Elephas maximus indicus: one gene and its partner. The protein of the gene in region 1 interacts with the protein of each later gene in a pairwise test. Links are inferred from orthologs where the notes say so. Each region holds a gene or a part of one and is shown on either strand. Other genes may lie near its edges.

Region 1 (9,688 bases):
TATGTCAGGAGGGGTAGGCCATATTATTTCTAAATGATATTCAATTCAATGTTAAAATATACAAAAACTGATAATAACTACTCTCCTGTTGGGCATTTAAAATTGAGCAAATTTAATACATCATTTGGTGAGTGATTGCAAAACCGTTAGACATTGTAAATGTTATATAACATGGGAAAATGCCGATACTATTTTAAAAAAACATAAAGCTACATTGTAATTCTGTAAACACTATAATGTATATATACAAAATAGAAGAAAAATAATGAAAACAGTTAGTATGGCAAAACTGAAGTTGATTTCTAGTTACACTGCTATAATAGCTGCTCAATAAATAAACTGGAAGAACAAAGCCATTAAATTACAGTGACAGAGTTTAGGTTCAATTAGGTAAATTAAAGAATATTTAGGGAACATATTTACAAATTTAAGGCCAATATTATAGACAAAGTCAACCACAGACTTTCAAAAGAACCAAAATACATTTGGTATTTTGCCAATTACAATCATTCCCACCATCTTTTCCTACCAATTTCATTGAGGATCTCAGTGGTAATAAGCCACTACTACTTTCGGGAGTGCTTTCTATTCCTTGGGCATCAAGGCAGAAGAAAAATGGTTGCCAATTGTCTTTGTTAAGATACAGAATGTAGACATGAATGAACAGGCCTAGCCCCCAAAGCAGTTTATTTATATCCTTTCTTGTTGGGGGGGGGAATTTTTAATTACTACAATTTTACCACATCATTTATTTTTCTATTGACAAAAATGCCAAGGGGGAAAAAAAGCATCACTAAACATGCTTAAAAATGAAAATAAATTTTTAATGAAATTATACCTTACTCCAACTTTTTAACCTTGTGCTTGAGAAACAGAAAAAATGAAATAAAATGTTTTGTGGGGTTTTCTCTTAGATATAAATTGATGGACATTATCTAATAATGACTACCTGATCATTAAAAATTATATAAAGAGAATATGATGCATTTTAGACAAGTTCTTAACCTCACTGAATACATATAAAATAAACACTAAACTACTAAATTAAACTGTTTTTTTATAAAATGCAAAGGCTTTTAGGGGTGCATTTGAATTACAAAAAATAGCGTAACTAGTACTGTTATTTATTAATTTTTATGAGGATCAGCTGAATATCCAATAATTCTTGAAACTGTTACTCAGTTTGTTTTAAATTGAGAGGTTTTGGTGGACATTTTGTTTTAAGTAAGAAAGACTTCAACTACTTTATCCTCTCTAAGGACATTTCAACAAAAACACACACACAAAAAAAGAAGTGCCAGCTTAAAGGCAGATTTCATATCAGAATGAAGAGCTCAAAGGCAAAATGGAAAACAGTATGCACGGTGGGATTATTCCCCTGATCTAAAACGATCCTTGAATTTAATTTACCAGCAGAAAAAACCCACTGTCATCTCGATTCCGACTCTGTGACCCTATACCAGCAGAGGACATATAAATCATTACAACCCAACTTTTCCAAAATATAAAAATTTAGATAGAAAAAGTGTGGATGATTTCTTGAGAGTTAATGCTAGTTAGAAGTTCGATGTATAGCATATAATTTTTATGTTATACTACTACAGCTTCCAAACTCTAAATACCAATAAATCCCCCCAATTATCTATTAAACAGCTGACATGGTAACTATTTCTACTGTTATCTTAATTTAAAAATAAGAAACAAATACTTCAAGTAAAAAAGTAAATGCAAGAATTTCTGGATTGCATGATTTTTAATACATAATATAGTGGCCCAAATACCAAATAAACATTCTAACATGGTATTTAAAGAGATTTCCAGCAAATGCAATAAAATCTGTATAAGGCATTGCGTACCTTAAAAACATATACACGAAAAGTTCCTGAAAGCGCCTTCCTTACCGACAATTAAAATACAAAATGCCTACATTTTAATTACAACATTATATTCTAAATAATTTTAAAAGAATAGCAGTGGCATCCTCTCAAAGCAAGATTAAAGATTTGTTAGGGAGGCAACACACCGAAACCAAAAAACCAAACCTACTGCCGTCCAGTCAGTCAATTCCGACTCATAGTGACCCTACAGGACAGAGCAGAGCTGCCCCAGAGTTTCCAAAGCTGTAATCTTTCCAGAAGCAGATTGCCGCATCTTTTTCCCAAGGTGCAGCTGGTGCACAGGAACCCAGAACTTAAAGTTAGCAAGCCTTGTGCTTAACCACTTCACTGCCAGGCCTCCTTAGGCAACACACAAACCCGAACCAAACCAAACCCACTGCCGTTGAGTCCATTCCGACTCATAGCGACCCGATAAGCAATATACACACCACTGTAAACTTGAAAGATTCTTACAAATTATATTACAAAGCTAAGGATTCTTGATTATTATCGAAGGTCTTCAAGGTCCATGAACTTTCTTGATCTGCAGAAGGGCATCTAGTTTTTTAAAAAAAAACTTGAAAGGATGTTCCTCCAATTTCTGAAAAAAGTGTTTACAGAGGATGCCTGAAGTCAGTGTGACAAATTTAAATACAAGATATAACTGCTACTGTATTTGTAATTCAGGGCAGTTAACCCACATAGGGTTGACTTCTTACAATAAAGTCGCACCTTCATAATTTTGGTTCAATAGACCAAGGTTATACGGTTATTTAAAGATTCTGAGGGGGAACTGCTGCCACTGACAATGTCAATGGTTATGAATTTCTTCATATAGGACAAAAAGTGTGCTCAGAGAAACAGTTTCTGTTCTGACTTCAAATACATTAATAGTATGCATTGTTACTGTTTCTGTAATTTAAGATTACTAAGAAACTACTTGCATATTATAATTTAGGAATAAATGAATAGGTCTAAGTAATGTGTTTCACTCCATCATATTCACAGTAGTTTTACTCTCGCCTCACCAGTTTTAAGACTCCCTATTAAAAAAGACTTTTTTTTTTACTACCTACCCACCAAACCAAACCCACTGTCATGGAGTCGACTGGGACTCATAGCGACCCTATAGGACAGAGTAGAACTGCCCCATACGGTTTCCAAGGCTGTAAATAAATATTCACGGTAGCAGACTGCCACATCTTCCTCCTGGCTGGCGGGTTCGAACCCCAACCTTCTGGTTAGCAGACGAGCTCCACCAGAGCTCCTTTATACTACCTAAGACCACAAAAATAATCCCCAGCTCTTCCGCCCTCTCCTTAGCTTCGGTTCCACCAGCGTGCGTAGAAAACAAGCAAACACACACACACACACACACACACACACACACGGGAGCGCGCGCGCACACACACACACACAATCTCTCTTTCTGTCCTGGTCCCTGGGGCATCGATAAACAGCACAGATTATTTCCCTACAGAAGCTCTGGTGTCCACCCAGAGAGATAAAAAATGGGGGAAAACGCCAGAATCAACCCGCACCCACACCTCAGCCCCGCCCCACTGGGAAAAAGAGGGGGGTGGCGAGTGTGTGAGGGTGGCAGAAAGGACAGAAAAGGCCGGGCCTCCTAATTCCCAGGCTCACCATACCATTCGCTCCATCAGGTTTCACCGCAGGCAGGGACCCAGACCCTGTTTTCAGCCGTACATGCCGATCTACTCCCCATTCCACACCCCACATACAAATAGTCCCGGCCGCTGGGTCTTGGGTGGGGAGACCACAGCCGACCCTCTTCCCGCCCAAGCTAAGGGCCGAGGGAGGTCTCCCCGCGCCCTCGGCAGGTCCGACCTGTGCTCCAGGAGCCTCCGAGCCGACCGAAGAAGGGGAAGATAAATCGGAGGGAGGGGTCTGAGAGGAGCCGTTATTTCTTTTTCCTCTTCGTTAGGAAAGCGCGCGAGCGGGGAGGGGCCGGAACAACGAACGCCAGTTACCTAAAGGTCCGGCCGGGCTAGACAGCCTCCTGAAGCCGACGCCGGCAGGCTGCTGAGGTGGCAGCACAGCCACAGTCGCCCCGAGGGCTAGGGACGGAGGCAGGGGCGCCCCAGGTGCTGGGAAGCGGGGGGTGGGGACTGTGGTGAGCGACGTCGCCATGTTAGCGCCTTCTTTCTCGGTACCCCACAGTCTCCAGTCTGCAGCAATCTCCCCATCACTACTCACCTTTCCAGGTCACTAATGCATGCGCCCTTCGGCTGCCCGGAGCCCCGTGTTTACAAACCACCCCTGGAGGAAAGGGCTGAACCGTACTTTAAAGGCCACGGGCTCCCACAGGCTTCCGTCCTCTCTCGCGAGATCGGACTGACAACCCTTCTCCCCGCCCCACTCCCGGCATCCTCCCCATTCTTCTCATGCCCCTCCCCTCCACGCGCACGCCCCTTCTTGCCTTCCTTCGGAAGGAGCGACTCCGGGTCAGGTGGTTCCGTCAGCCTTGACGAAGGAGGCGGGACTCAGAAGGGTGGGGATGGAGGGGGCGGGAACCAAAAACACTCGGGCACTGGTGATTGGACAAGGAGACCGAAGGGCGGGAAGCAGTTCTGGAGGGGGCGGGAGTACAGAGACCAGTAACCCGTTGCTTTCCAGTCCATTTCAACTCGTAGCGACCCTATAGGACGGGGTAGAACTGGCCCATAGGGTTTCCAAAAGAGACTGCCACACCTTTCTCCCGCGGAGCAATTTGTGGGTTTGAACCGCTAACCTATCGGTTAGCAGCCGAGTTCTTAACGATTTCTCAGTAACCCTGGAGCTGCCGGAGGCTGTGATTGGCAGCTAGCGGGCGCGGGAGCAGGTGGCGGTTGAGGTCTCGGAGGGGATTAGTGGTGTGCAGGGAGAAGAGGTGAGTTCAGGAAAGGCTGCGAGTGAGGAGAGAGAAAGCCGGTGAGTTGCCAGCCCTGGGAACCGGGTAGTTTTCGTTGCTGTCACTTCCTGGCCCATGGTGGAGACGTGAGTAAAGCTATGGTAAGGGGAGTTTAGGTTAAGCTGAGGTTTGGGAGAGACGGAATTGGGTCAAAACCAAACCACACTCAGTGCCGTCGAGTCGATTCCGACTCATAGCGACCCTATAGGAGAGTAGAACTGCCCCGGGTAGTTACCCCCAAATCCCCTACATGCCTAAAGAGGGAAAGAGGATAAGACGAAAAAGCTTTTAATCTGAGCGGTGTTTGTTGAAATTTTACTAAGCTGTAAGTGGAACTGATTCAGGCTCCTTTTTCCCAGCATCAAAATTAAACACTTTTATGCATTAAAGGACTTTATCAACAAAGTGAAGAGTTGTTGTTAGGCGCTGTCAAGTCAGTTCCAACTCACAGCAACTCTGTGTACAACACAAGGAAACACTGACCAGTCTTCTGCCATCCTAAGAATTGTTGCTATCAGTGAGCCCATCATTGCAACCATTGTGTAAATCTATCTCGTTGAGGGTCTTCATCTCTTTCTGACCCTCTACTTACCAAGCATGATGTCCTTCTCCAGGGACTGGTCCCTCCCGATAACATGTCCAAAGTACTTGAGACGAAGTCTCGCCATGCTCACATCTAAGGAGCATTCTGACTGTACTTCTTCCAAGACAAATTTGTTTGTTCTTTTGGCAGCCCATGGTATATTCAATATTCTTCACCAACACAGTACTTCAAAGGCATCGATTTTTCTTCAGTCTTCCTTATTCATTGTCCAGTATTGCATGTGTATAAGCTGAATGAAAATACCATGGTTTGGGACAGGCACACCTTAGTCCTCAAAGTGATATCTTTGCCCTTTAACACTTTAAAGAGGTCTTTTGTAGCACAGTTGCCCAATGCAGTATATCGTTTGATTTCTTGACTCCGGCTTCCATGGGTGTTGATTGTGGATCCAAGAAAAATGAAAATTCTTGACAACTTCAATATTTTCTCCATTTATCATGATGTTGCCAATTGGTCCAGTTGTAAGGATTTTGGGGAGAAATTTTTTGGGAACCATATATAAATATATAACCATATATAAATAAGGGTTTAATATCCAGTTTAATATATAGAAGCAAGGATGGTGAGACTGCATCTTACATACTTTGGACATGTTGTCAGGAGGGATCAGTCTCTGGAGAAGGACATCATGCTTGGCAAAGTACAGGGTCAGCAGAAAAGAGGAAGACCCTCAACGAGGTGGATCGACACAGTGGCTGCAACAATGGGCTCAAGCATAACTATTGTAAGGATGGTGCAGGACCAGGTAGTGTTTTGTTCTGTTGTAAATAGGGTCGCTATGAGTTAGAACCGACTCGATGGCACCTAACAACAACAACATATATAAAAAGAAAACACTGGTGGCATAGTGTTTAAGTGCTATAGTTACTAACCAAAGGGTCAGCCATTCAAATCCACCAGGTGCTCTTTGGAAACTCTATGGGGGCAGTTCTACTCTGTCCTATAGGGTCACTATGATCTGGAATTGACTCGGTGGCAATAGGTTTTGGTTTTGTATATATAAAAAAGACAAGACATTTCCCCAAAGGAGATATACAAATGCCCAAAAAACACATGAAAAGGTGCTCAGTATCTTAGGGAAATGAGACACCACTTCACCCTCACTAGTATGGCTATGATTAAAAAACAAAAACAGAAAACAACATATGCTGGCAAGGATGTGGAGAAATTAGATCCCTCATCCATTGCTGGTTGTTGTTGTAAGTTGCCATCAAGTTGGCCCTGACTCATAGCAACCCCATGCACCTCCTGGTCCTGCATTATCCCCTTGATCACTTGTGATTCATAAGGGTTTCACTGGCTGATTTTCAGGTAGATCACCAGGCCTTTCTTCCTAGTCTGTCTTAGTTTGGAAGCTCCACTGAAACCTGTTAAGCATCACAGCAATACGCAAACCTCCACTGACAGATGGGTAGTGGCTGTGCATGAAGCGCATTGGCCAGGAATTGAACCAGGTCTCCTGCATGAAAGGCGAGCATTCCACCACTGAACCACTGATGCCTCCCATTGCTGGTGGGAAAGTAAAATGGTGCAGCTGCTGTGGAAAACAGTTTGGTGATTACGCAAAACATTAAACATAGAATTACCATATGACCCAGCAATTCTAGGTATATACCACAAATAATTGAAAGCAGAAATGCTATGAACTTGTGTACCAATGTTCATTACACCACTCTTCCCAATAATCAAAAGGTGGAAAGCACCTACACGTCCATTAACAGATGAATGGATAAACATAACATGGTGTAAACATACAATGGAATATTACTCAGCCATAAAGAGAAATAAAGTCCAGATGCATGATACCACAAGGATGAACTTTGAAAACATTATGCTGAGTGAAATAAGTCACAAAAGGAGAAATATTGTATGATCCCACTTACACGAAATATTTACAAGGGGCAAATGTATAGAGACCAGAGTTCATCGGTGGTTTACCTGGGGTAGGAGGGAGGAGGAAAGGGGGACCCTGAGATCTGTTAAGAGCTATGGAAAACTTTGGAAACAGACAGTGATGATGTTTGTACAACATGATGAACACAGTATTATTGAAATCTACACGTAAAAAATGTTGAAATGATAAATGTTTTGTCATATATATTTTTACCACAATAGGGGGCAGGGAAGGAAAAGAGGGAAAGAACGTTTGATTAGTGTGGGGGGGAAAAAAAGGCCATCTTTGCTGCTTTGCAATGACAGATGCACACCAAAAAACACAGAAAGGACAGTGATGAAAAGATTTCTTCTTAATGTTGTTTTATGATTCTTTATACAACTTAAAGATTTCAGTGTTTACTGTAGTAATAGTGATTATTCTACAAATTGGAGACATTGGCACAAGGTGAAAAGCATAATAAGGGGTCCTTGCAAAAACATGCGTTACTGTTTTTTAAAAAGAGCAAGTTTATTGCGGTGCCTTATGTTTTTTCATTTATTAAATGCTGATTTCTAGTCTGTGTTAAAATTATGAATAAAGTCTATGTATTAGCCTATAATATGCTCTCAAGTAATATCTCTACACCAAAACGAAATGGAAATTGTTGGAGGATTTTGGGGGATATTATTTGAGAGTTAATGAACCTGCAGTTCAATAATGGCATCTGGCATAAAAGTGAAATCGTAACGGCATTGGACTTTTTAACAGGTTTCTGGCCTCTATACATGTATGCGAGCCAACTCAGTCCTCTTTTAAAACTAATTTTCATTATCAAGAGACATGAAATTTGCCAAATAATTAACACTGTTTACTTCTCAGATGAAAATGAAAGAACCATCCCTATATAACATCAGTAACACTGTAGTGGTGTTGGTGTGGTGTAGTGTAGTGTATCACTAATTGCATCAACAAAACTGCAGCAGCTCAGATTACCAATGAACATAATGATGTCCAAAATGTGAGACTGACAGATCATAAATTATTAGGTCTAGAATGCATTCACTATAAAGGTGCTTCTCTCCTCCAGGCCCCAGAACTTTCAACGTGGGAAAAAGAGCTATAAATGTTATGTCATTTCAGAAGAACTTTGTGTCAATTAATATAGTTTTTTGTTTTAAACAATTATTTTCCATTCATTTACATTAAAGAGATGAAATTCTTTCCTCCAGTTTTGATTCATTATCAATTGGCAATAGCTTTGGTTTTAAACTCCTCCTCTTCCCTGCTTCTCCAGTCAGTTGCCAAGTTGTTAATTATCTACAAAGTGTACTAGGGGAACGGGCTATTTTAAAGAAAGTCTTTCGTAAGTTCTCTTAAACAAGAGAGGAATCATTTAGTAATATGAATAGTACTCTGATTTGTTTTGAGAATGCAATTTTAGCGAACTTTCTAAAGAGAAGGTATTTTGGATTGAATTGTGCCCAGCCAAAATACGTGTTGGAAGACTAACCCCTATATGTTTGGGAACGGGGTTTCCTTTGTTATATTAATAAGGCCATATCCATGTGAGTGTATCCTAAACCTAATCACTTCAGAGTTTAAGGAGCAGCAAAGCAAGCACAAATAGGGGAAAGACAGATGCCACGTGAAGATCGCCAAAGAGATGAGGAACACCAGGGCTACAGAAGCGGAAAGAGACAAAAATCTTTCCCCAGAGGCATCAGAGGGCCTTCCCCTAGAGCCAGTGCCCTGAATTCGGACTTCTAGCCTCCTGAAGTATGAGAAAATAAATTTCTGTTCCTTAAAGCCACCTCCTTGTGGTATTTCTATTACAGCAGCATTAGGAAACTAAGACAGAAGGTATACCTAAAGTGCAAAAAAATAAAGGAGATCAAGGGAAAACACAGGTAGAAATGACGCAAATCTGTTACATGTTGGTAGCCTGACAGTTAACAAAAGGTTTCACCTTATCTCCATACATCTAGCTCCACAACATCTAGTTCCTTCACTGTGGCTTTCCTATACATGGAGAAAACACTCACTGGGCACACAATGCATGTAGTTGCTATTTCCAGTTCTGATCCATGAACTAGTCTTTTTTAATTTTTATATACTTCATCTTATTTTTCTAGTGTTGTTGAAAATATACACAGGAAAACATGCATCAACAATTTCTACATGTACAATTCAGTAATATTGATTACATTCTTCAAGTTGTACAACTATTGTCACCCTCCTTTTTCCGAATTGTTTCTCCCCCATTGACATAAACTCAATGCCTCTTAAACTTCTATCTAAACTTTCAAGCTGCTGTATTCAGTTTGATCCCATATAGGTAGTTCTTTAAAAGAGCACAATGCTGAAGGCAGACATTCTTTGCAAATTAAGGTAAACTGTTTAGTTTGTTTATGGTGATGGAA
Region 2 (9,196 bases), on another chromosome or scaffold:
ATAGCAACCCTATAGGACAAAGCAGAACTGCCCCATAGGGTTTCCAAGGAGCAGTTAGTGGATTCGAACTGCTGACCTTTTGGTTAGCAGCTGAGCTCTTAACACCGTCACGTGTATGGATACTATATTTCACAATGTATTTTTGAACATACATTTAATTACAAAAATGATAATAATAAAGACCACATACAATTCAGAGAAATAACAAAAGAGCAAATTTTAAAATTGCATGCAATCTAAAATTACGACTTTTAAAAAAAACCTTATACATGAGAAAATAGACTGAAGGAAAGCACATTGAGATGCCAAGAGTGTTGAAATTGTGGGTAATTTTTCTCTTGCCTATTTCCCAAACTTTCCAAGTGGCTAAAAAATATACACTTACAAAAGTTTCCTCAAAGAAAAGTATGGTTCTTTCAAGTATTTTCAAATCACTTTCACATCTATTATCTCATTTGATTTTTAAAACAATCCTTTTGGAGGCGGCGTCAGTATTAATTAGTTTCATTTTATAGGTAGCAAAACTGAGACTGTGTTCATGACTTGCACCATGTCACTCTGTTGGCTGGGAGTAAAGCTGTGACTGGTCCCCAGGTCTCCTGACTCCTGTCGGTCCTCTGCCCACTCGAACGCCCAGGGTTCCTTCTTCTGGTACATGGAAATAGCTGCTACCTGGCCTTCGGCCCTGTGGTCCAAGGTGGGCGTCTATGGCTGCTCATAATTGACTACACACAAGAAGGTCCCTAAAGATGCAACCCCCGCCTTCTCTTTGCAGGGCACCAAGTTGGAGGGGGTAAAAGTTCTTGGAAACGTTCAGAGAGAGAGAAGATGAGCTGTCTGGACCACGGGCTGTGTTTGAGAATCAAGTCGGACAACATTATGGAAATGGGTTTCTCCAAGTGCTGGTCAACAAGCTCTCTCTGATGCCTTCTCTCTCCCTTCACTTAGAAGACACCAGAGGCTTGCAAGACAGTGCCACCTGAGCCTACAGTCAGGACCCTCAGAGAAGGGTGGGGGCTCAACCAGAGACAGTCCCTTGCTCAAGGATACCAGGCTCAGAACCACACCAGAACCCAAATCCCCCATTCCCAGCCCAGGCACTTTGCACGGAGTCAGTGGGGGGAGGAAGGCATTGGTCAGCACAGCACTGAGGTGAGCCCCAGGCGAATGGCCGTGCTGCTGTGGATGAATAACCGGAAATGCTCTCATCGTTTCCTGTCTGGAGATTGTCATTCCTGGACATTGCTCAACTCTTCCCAACTGTTTGCCACTGATGTTGTTGTTAGGTGCCGTTGAGTAGGTTCCGACACATAGTGACAGAACGAAACACTGTCCGGTCCTGTGCCATCATCACAACCATTGTGCTTGAGCCCATTGTTGCAGCCACTGTGTCAGTCCATCTTGTTGAGGGCCATTGATAAGGAGTGCAGAATTAGCTCTGGGGGGGAGGTCGAGGGGTATCCCCAGAAAGCCCCCCTCCCGATTCACAATTAGCGACACCATTACTGTGCCCCTTTCTCCATTCACTCTCACAACAACCCTGAGTTAGGTGCTATTATTAGTGCCATCTTTCAGCTGAGGAAACTTAAACCCAGAGAATGAAATGACTTTTCCAAGATGACACAGCCACTAAGTGCTGAATCCAGAATCAAAGTCCTCCCTTCCACACTTCAGAGTCCACTGTGCAAGGCTGCCCCCACTTTCCCCAAGAAGGCCTCAGGTCAGAGACTCTTAAATTAGTAATCTACACACCCAAACTGACCTTACAGAAAGGGTGGGCTTTGGAGAGGAGAATGGAGAGGACAGGCCACCCAACTCCTGTTCCAGGGTGAAGAAGTGGGTTGAGCCGGGTAGACTGGGCTGCTAGCTCCTAGCTGCTTCCCTGGCCGATTTTAACTTGTGTTTAATTTGGGTTTCTGGGATCTCTGAGAGCAAATAGAGTCTTCCGGGTTTGCAGAACAGAACGGTGGGATGGGGAGGGGCTGGGAAGGGACAGCCCACTGGACTAAAAGCTCTAAATATCTCTTGGGCTCCTTTTTTTTTCTGGTTGTTTGCGTTTGGCTCCTTGCAATGTTTTGGTGTTTAGATTTGGTTGCCACGAGTGGGCTGTTTTTAGCTGCCCAGTTCCTTCCCCTCCCCTTTTAATTTTTTCCCCTTGCTTTTGCACAAGCCCCAGCACGAAGTCTTCAGGTCTTATCTCACTCAGCAAAAACACACCCGGCTGATCTGAGAGTGGATTCCCCAGGCGATTCCCGGAGTAAAGCCTCAGCAAAATATTCCAGTCTCTGCTTATCTCGCTTTCATTGAGGATTAACCCCTGAAATAACCCAGGCCCGGGCTTCCTTCTGGGGCGGGGGGGGGGGGGGGGGGCGGGGGGCAGGCATTCTGTGCCTTTGTCTGGGGAGCTTTTCTTGCCCCTCCTCTGGATGGGACTGCTTGTGTGTGGTGAGAGTGTGAGCCGTGGACATTGGCGGCACGAATGAAAGCCAGGGTAGAGGAGGACGCACAGCCTCAGGTACCGATCCCGGAGATCACCGAGCTGGGCACACAGAGCTTCTCCCGCTGTTCCCCAGCCTCTCTCTCATTCCGCAGACATTTCACAGCTCTCCTGGGGGAAGGGAGGAAAGGAGGCAGCCAGGACTAGTTTTTTGTTTTTCTTGGATAAGAGTTTCATTCACGTGGGGGTGTACTTCTCTGTCATGATTCTTATCGCTTTTAGAGTCCCAGTAAGAGAAAAAGGCAGAGGAAAGAAAGCCAGGCTCAGGCTCCGGCAGATGCCAACGGCACTTCTGCCCAGGTGTGACTTGGAGATTCAAAAGCAAGGATTACTAGAATGAAACCAGATTAATAAACGGAACGGGAGGAGGCAGGATGGTAACAAACTGTGAATGCCTCTCTTTTCCCTGACCCTTTGCTTCCTCTGTTTTGTGGACACTGGTGTGTTTACTGCTCGAGCTGAATTTCCCCTTAAGGAAAGGGCCAAACTTCCACAGCTCTTGCTTGGGTGTGTTAATGGCACCACAGTTTAAAATGTAAATTGGATAAAGATTTCTGCGCGCGTTTCACAGCAACAAGTGAAAAGCTTTCACGTGGTTCTTTCCCGCCTCCTTGTCTCACTTTATCATAATATTTATAATAAATAATTAATGGTGCTATTTATTTCAGTGGAGGTTGGTCGGATAAGGAGAGAATCCCAAATAACTTTCATTTAAATTGTACACGTAAATTCTACGTTTAAATGAAAAGTTATTTGGGATTCTCTACTTGTCAGACGCCCTTTCCATCCGCTCTCGCTCGGAGTTCTCGGGCTGTGCAGACACGCCCGGGGTGTACCTGCCCGCGCGTCGGTGGGAGGGCGGGGTGTGGGTGTGCGGAGCGGGGTGTGCGGGGTGTGTGGGCGTGAGAAGTGGAGGGTGGGGCCGGGAGAGCCGTTACCAGGACGAAAAGCAGAGGAAAACAGCCGCCCCACGCTTCCCGCGCGATGCGCCAGGGGAACCTTGTCTGCTGCAGAGCAGAATCCCCGAGGGCACCGCGTGGAACCCCAGGGCTGTCGGATGGGGCGGAGGACTTCCGAGGCCGCCCTCCACGTTGTACAAGCTCCAGGTGGGAGAGGGCATCTGGGTGAGGTTCTGGCTTGGGGGCAAGAAACCCGGGTGTGGAAGATTCGGCGCTACCTGCAGCGCCGGGGATCTCTGCCCCAGGCTGCTCCGCCATCGGCAGGGCTGGGGAGGGATGCGGATTCTCCAAGGTGTGAGTGTATGTGTGTGTGTGTGTGAGTGCAAGACGCTGCGCCCTGGCCCGACCGGGCGCCAGACCCCCGGCTCCGCCACGACCTTACCAGTCAAGGGCCGCGCCTGCAGATGCGATGGGACCTGGTGCCCCGAGACACCTAGAGTTCTTACTCCAAACTATGGCCTTCGATCACCCATCTCCCAAGAGGCAGGTCGAAGCAGGTGCTTCTGCCCTCGGCCTCACACCCCCCTCAGTACCCCGCCACTCCTGGCTCGCGTGGGTCTCCCTCCCAGGCAAATTCGAAAGGCCCCGGGCCACGCTTGCGCCCACACCTTATCGTCTAAGAGTGGCTGAGAAGGTCCCTGGTTCTGCCGTTGTCGGAGCCGAGATGGCTACAGTCTGGGAATCGGAACCGGGAAATCGTTTTAAGGTTCAAACCCAGTTCTGCCGAGGCATCGGGGTCCCGCCACCCTGGCCTGAGGACCGAGGGGATCTCTACTGCGGGTTCCCGTCCTGGCGGCGGTCAGTGCGTCCCCAGTACCGGCACTCTGGTCCCCGCCCAATCTGCTCTCCGCGCAGAAAAACACGAGAAAGATGAGGACGAGTTTCCCTACACACTGGCCGAGGGCGAGGCGACCCGCTCCAGCCTGGCCGGCCCCCGGGGCCGAAGCGCTGTCTCTTTCTCTTGTCTCCCCGGCTGCTCAGTTTCAGTCCGGCTCCGGGTTCCCCTTGTTTCTCCAGATCTCTTATCCGTCTACGCTCTCTCGTTCGTTTCGCCGGGAATCTCTCTGTCAATTTCAAATGCTTTGTGGTTGTTTAAAAACATCCGAACTGACAGGGTCCTACCCCTCGCCATCTCCTTCGGATCGGGTTCCAGTGAGCACCGAGGTGTATCTGCGTGTGCGCTCACGTGGGATGAGCTGGAGCCGCGGGCGCCGGGGGACGGCGCGCGCCGAGCGCTGCTGTCCGCGCTTGGGTTAACGCGCCGGTTTCTCGTGGTCCCCGCGGCGGAGGTCACCCCGGAGAGTAACGGTGTGGGGTCACGCCTGGGTGACTTTGGGCACCTCTCCCGCACGAGAGAACAACGCTCCTGCCCCCACCCAGCCCTCTACTCGAGAAGGAGGCGGCGGGCGGGGTAGGGGGCACTTTCTTGAAGCTCCAGATAATGACCGTGCATTTTAGAGAAAGGTCGCGCCCCCTTCCCGGCCTCACCTCGCCTGGGCCGCGGCCGGGACCAGCCTTCTCCCCACCCCTCCCGCAGCCTAGCCGAGGGAGGGATGCCAGCGCGGTGGAGTCATGCCGCTGGCTTGGGCACCATTGGCTCACGCCTGGAACACGCAGCGGCGAGTACGCACATCTGGCGGCGGGCCCGGGCGGCTCCGGTCCCGATTTGGAGAGAGAGGGCGGGCGGGTGTGTGTCCCAGCGCGAGGCCGGGAGAACGCGCCTCCGGGCCCCTCCCCGAGGTTGCATCACCAGGCCTCCCTCGCCGCCACCGCCTCCCCGCGCCTTGGTCCCTCCTCCGCCCCGCCTTCCACTGCCCGGTCCGGCGAGTTCTCGGGGAAGCTATTAATAGCATTACGTCAGCCCGGGGCTGGTAACCCGGAGTCAGCGGGCGCGCCGCCAGCCCAGCGCTATAAAAGGGGTGATGCAACGCGCTCGCAGCCACAGTCGCACGCAGCCAGGCGCGCACAGCACAGCACTCTCCCCGCCGCCGCCCAGCGGACCCGCCAGCCCGCGCACCGGCCGTGCGTCCTCGGGACAGCCTGCGCGCCCGCCCCCGTCCTGCCCCCGCCCGCCCTCGGGACCCAGGCCGCCTCGAGCCGAGGCAGGAGGTGAGCGCTGGAAGCCGAATGAGTGAACGCGGCGAGGGCGGCTTGCTTTCATTGCCTTTGCGCCCCTCCAGTGACCGGCTCCCGGACCCCTGCGCCCACCCCGGGCCCGCGCACCCAGCCTCCGCTTCCCCAGAACTCTGGCTGAACTTCTGCCAGCCAGTGCCGCTTCTCTGCGCTTCAGAAAGTTTCTCGAAAAGTGAAAGAACTAACTTTCTCTTTTGACTTGGGGCGCGAGAGGCTTCTGGTGACGGAGAGGACGGGCGCCCGCTCCCCGCTGACCTTCTAGCGCAGCTCCTCTCCGCCCTGGGCGCCGACTTACCGGCTGGGAGCCCGCGTAGGGAGGTGGGTGCTCGGGTGAATCCCAGGCCTCCCCGGATCGCCGTCCGGCTCCATCCATCGCTTCGCGCCCGGGCACCGCCAACCAAGGCGATCCTTCCCGGGCTCGGCGTTCGGGCGCCGAGGCCGCGGGCTCGCAGAAGCGCTGCCCCAGGCGCCGAGCGGAATGAATGGGGAGGGAACGGACGAACCGGGGACGCTGGCGCGGCGGCTGGGAGTCGCTCTGCCTGCACCCCAGGAGCGCTCGGCGCCGGGGACGCGCGGGAGCCCAGAGCAAAAGTTAGTCGGGTAAGTTTAGAGGTGGCGAGCGCGTGAGTCGCTGTCCCGGGCGGAGGGCGGAGAGGGCTCCCGGCACAGGCTCGTATTGGCCTCCGGGACCCGGGACTTCCTGTCTCATCTCTTGCTCGCTTTTCTCTGCTACCTGCGACTCTCGCTCTGGGTTTTTCTATGGCGGGTACTCAGACTTCTCTGCTTCGTGCCCATGGACACCCACCGTGGGGAGGTGAGAGTGCGAGCCCGGCCCTTCAGATAATTGAGAAGAGAATGGCTTTGTGATCAAGTGTCCAGGGCTCTGGGAGCTTACACGGCAGTCGATGTCGTCGAGCTGCAGTCTCGTGCCTGCAGCCGGGAGCGGTGGGTACGTAGACGCTGCCCGCCCCGCTGCCTGTCTGTGAGCGGGAGGTGGTGGCTGAACCCGATACCCACCAAGGTGCTTTCTGGGTTAAGATTTTCGGCTTCAAGGGTGGTGGCGCAGTGGTTAAGCGCTCGGCTGCAGGCTGAAAGGTCATTGGTTCAAACTTACCACCGCTCCGCGGGAGAAAGATGTGGCAGTCCGCTCCCGGAAAGATTACAGTCTTGGAAACCCTATGGGCAGCTCTACTGTATCCTATAGGGTCGCTGTGAGTCTGAATTGACTCCACGGCAGTGAGTTTTTTGGTAGAGTGGGCGTCTCTGTCTTGTCACTTACCAGCCTCCCAGGCAGTGGGGAAAGGGGACCTGTCTTCCCAACTTCTTTTCATTGGATTGGCTCTCCACCCCCTCCTCCTTTCCTGCTTCCCCCTTGATTCTCTCGTGTACTTAATTCATTTCCTCGTTGATTGTTTTTCCCCCTAATTTCATTGCTTAAATCACATATGCTGCCTTACAAATAAAGATGTTGCAAAATCTCTGATGGAGCCACAAAAAAAACTGGGAGCTAGAAAGTCTGGGTGTTTTCTCAGAGCACATATTTTATTGTGGGTGTGAGAGACAGTTTTTCTTTGGGCCTTCTGTCACCCCAACTTAAACTAAAGGAGAAGTTGGTATCACTGTCCCCCTGGCTTTGCATTTAGCATCTCGTGTAGAATAATGCTGCTTCATGTAGGCTCTTGATCTGAAGACGTCCTGGACAAAGGGGCAGTCGGGGCGGGGGGGTGGGGAGACTGCAGTTGTTCTTGTCTTGATGGTGTCAGAGATGGCGTGGAAGGCCACACCCCAGGCCCACAGTGTGGATAAGACACCGCACCCAGCACCGTGGGAGCCTTTGGACCCTTTGTGTCATAACTCCACCCTTCTCACCCTCTTTGCCCTTTCAGCGGTTTTTTAACTTTTCCTTCCACCGTGATCCTTTTTCCTCTGTCCATATTCCCTCCCCCGTTTAGCTCTCCCAGTGGTCTCTGTGTTGGTTGGCACCAGGTTACTAGGGCTGTTGATCTCTCACATACCTGGTACAATGGCTCTGTTCTCTGTGCCTTGGGTTGACCCCTCTTGAGGTTGGATCCCTGTTGGTGGTAGAGCAAAAAGAGCAGCAGGTGGCTGGTCAGCAGCTTGGCCTGGGCTGGCGACTCAACAACTTTATGACCTTGAGGAAGTCACTTTACCTCCCTGGGCCTCAGCTAACTCGATTACAAATGAGGATCTCAGCTAGATGACTCTAATATTGGTGTCTTATGATTTCTGGTAGATAGATACCATGATTTGTTCCATTTTAAAGCTGGGGTGGAGCGAGCTCAGTGGCTTCAAGTGTTCCCTAGCTAGGACACCATGGACATATTTTTCGAGGGAAAAATGGTTTCACATGTGAGAAACTGGTTATCTCTCAAGCACGTAACAGTGGCGACAGGCTGGTGCCAGCAGATAGTAGGGTGGAACGTACCTAGTGTGTTAGAGACCCAGAGGTCAATCAAAGTGCAGAAGAAGCTGAGAGCTGTCCTGAATTTCTTGAGGGTTCCCATTAATTCCTGACTAATGGGGGACTGAATTGCACTGAGCACAAAAGAATGAGTTCTCCATGAAATGGGGAAAGTAGAATCACAGTAATGAAGGGTGCCCAGTGTGTGTGTAAGTCCACCTTCATCTCATATGCTCTTCGTGATAGCGCTGTGCGGGAGTTGGGGCAGGCAACACGGAGCTCATTTCACAGATGAGGAGACCCAGGCCCAGGAAGTGTAAGTGGCCAGTAAGCGGGCGCTCAGCTTGTGAGTGGTGGTGGTAGACCTGGAAACTGTCTCGGGTCCTGAAGCCCAGCCTTGTACCTACAACCTTCACGAGGGTTGACACAAAGGGTTAGTTAGTGAGAAGACCAACGCTGGCTTCCTAGCATCATAAGATATTTTGTGAGTAGTGCTTTGAGGCAAGAGATGAAAACCAAAAGTGAAAATTCAGTGTAGTTGTAGTCACTAGGAAATAGCGTTTGGGAACTGAATTTCCAGTTAAAGAGATACATGAGTGAAGTTTCACTTTCTTAAAAATGATGAGACTGCTAACTACGTGACACCATTTCTGACTGGAGATAATGAAGTAGAAGCGAAATACAGGCTCTTTGCAGCAGATCTGGGCAATTTCAAGATCAACGTAGAAAGTCAACTCAGATGATCTAAGAGAGATGTGAAGATAACCGGGAACTTTTTTTTCTTCAATTGGTGGTGGTGAGGGGAGCGTTCAAGTGTCTCGGCTTTCTGAAAAAACTGTCTGAAGATTTAACTTCATTTTCCTTGTGGGGACACGGCCTTAGTCTGGGCTGAATCGTATCTTAAGAGAATATGTGGAGGAGTAACTCTAACGTATCCCAAGAGGCTAAGTTTCAGCCTAGTTCAGAGAAAGGCCAAGTCTGTACAGATACAACCACTTTATTTTCTGAAAGGCTTTTAACATTTTACCACCCATTTCCGTCCCCAAGTAAGCCCACCCAATGCTTTTCATAAAAACATTCCATGCCACTGACATTCTTCACTTTTATCAGGACTGCTGACTTTATACTAAGAAGGGGGAAAAATCCCAAACAGTAGACCCTAAGCCCTAAGAGCTCATTAATAAG

What was found.
Region 2: the proteins of ATF2 (region 1) and ATF3 interact in binary tests that used the Homo sapiens proteins (3 or more experiments, as listed by UniProt). The link is inferred for Elephas maximus indicus from reciprocal best matches to the Homo sapiens genes ATF2 and ATF3.

What each region holds. Positions count from the first base shown.
Region 1 is NC_064824.1:73,233,714-73,243,401, forward strand, and holds the start of ATF2 (cyclic AMP-dependent transcription factor ATF-2), read right to left. Parts: upstream 4,230-9,688; 5' UTR 4,095-4,229; intron 1-4,094. UniProt on the Homo sapiens protein: Transcriptional activator which regulates the transcription of various genes, including those involved in anti-apoptosis, cell growth, and DNA damage response.
Region 2 is NC_064842.1:1,221,211-1,230,406, forward strand, and holds the start of ATF3 (cyclic AMP-dependent transcription factor ATF-3), read left to right. Parts: upstream 1-5,387; 5' UTR 5,388-6,067; coding exon 6,068-6,189; intron 6,190-9,196.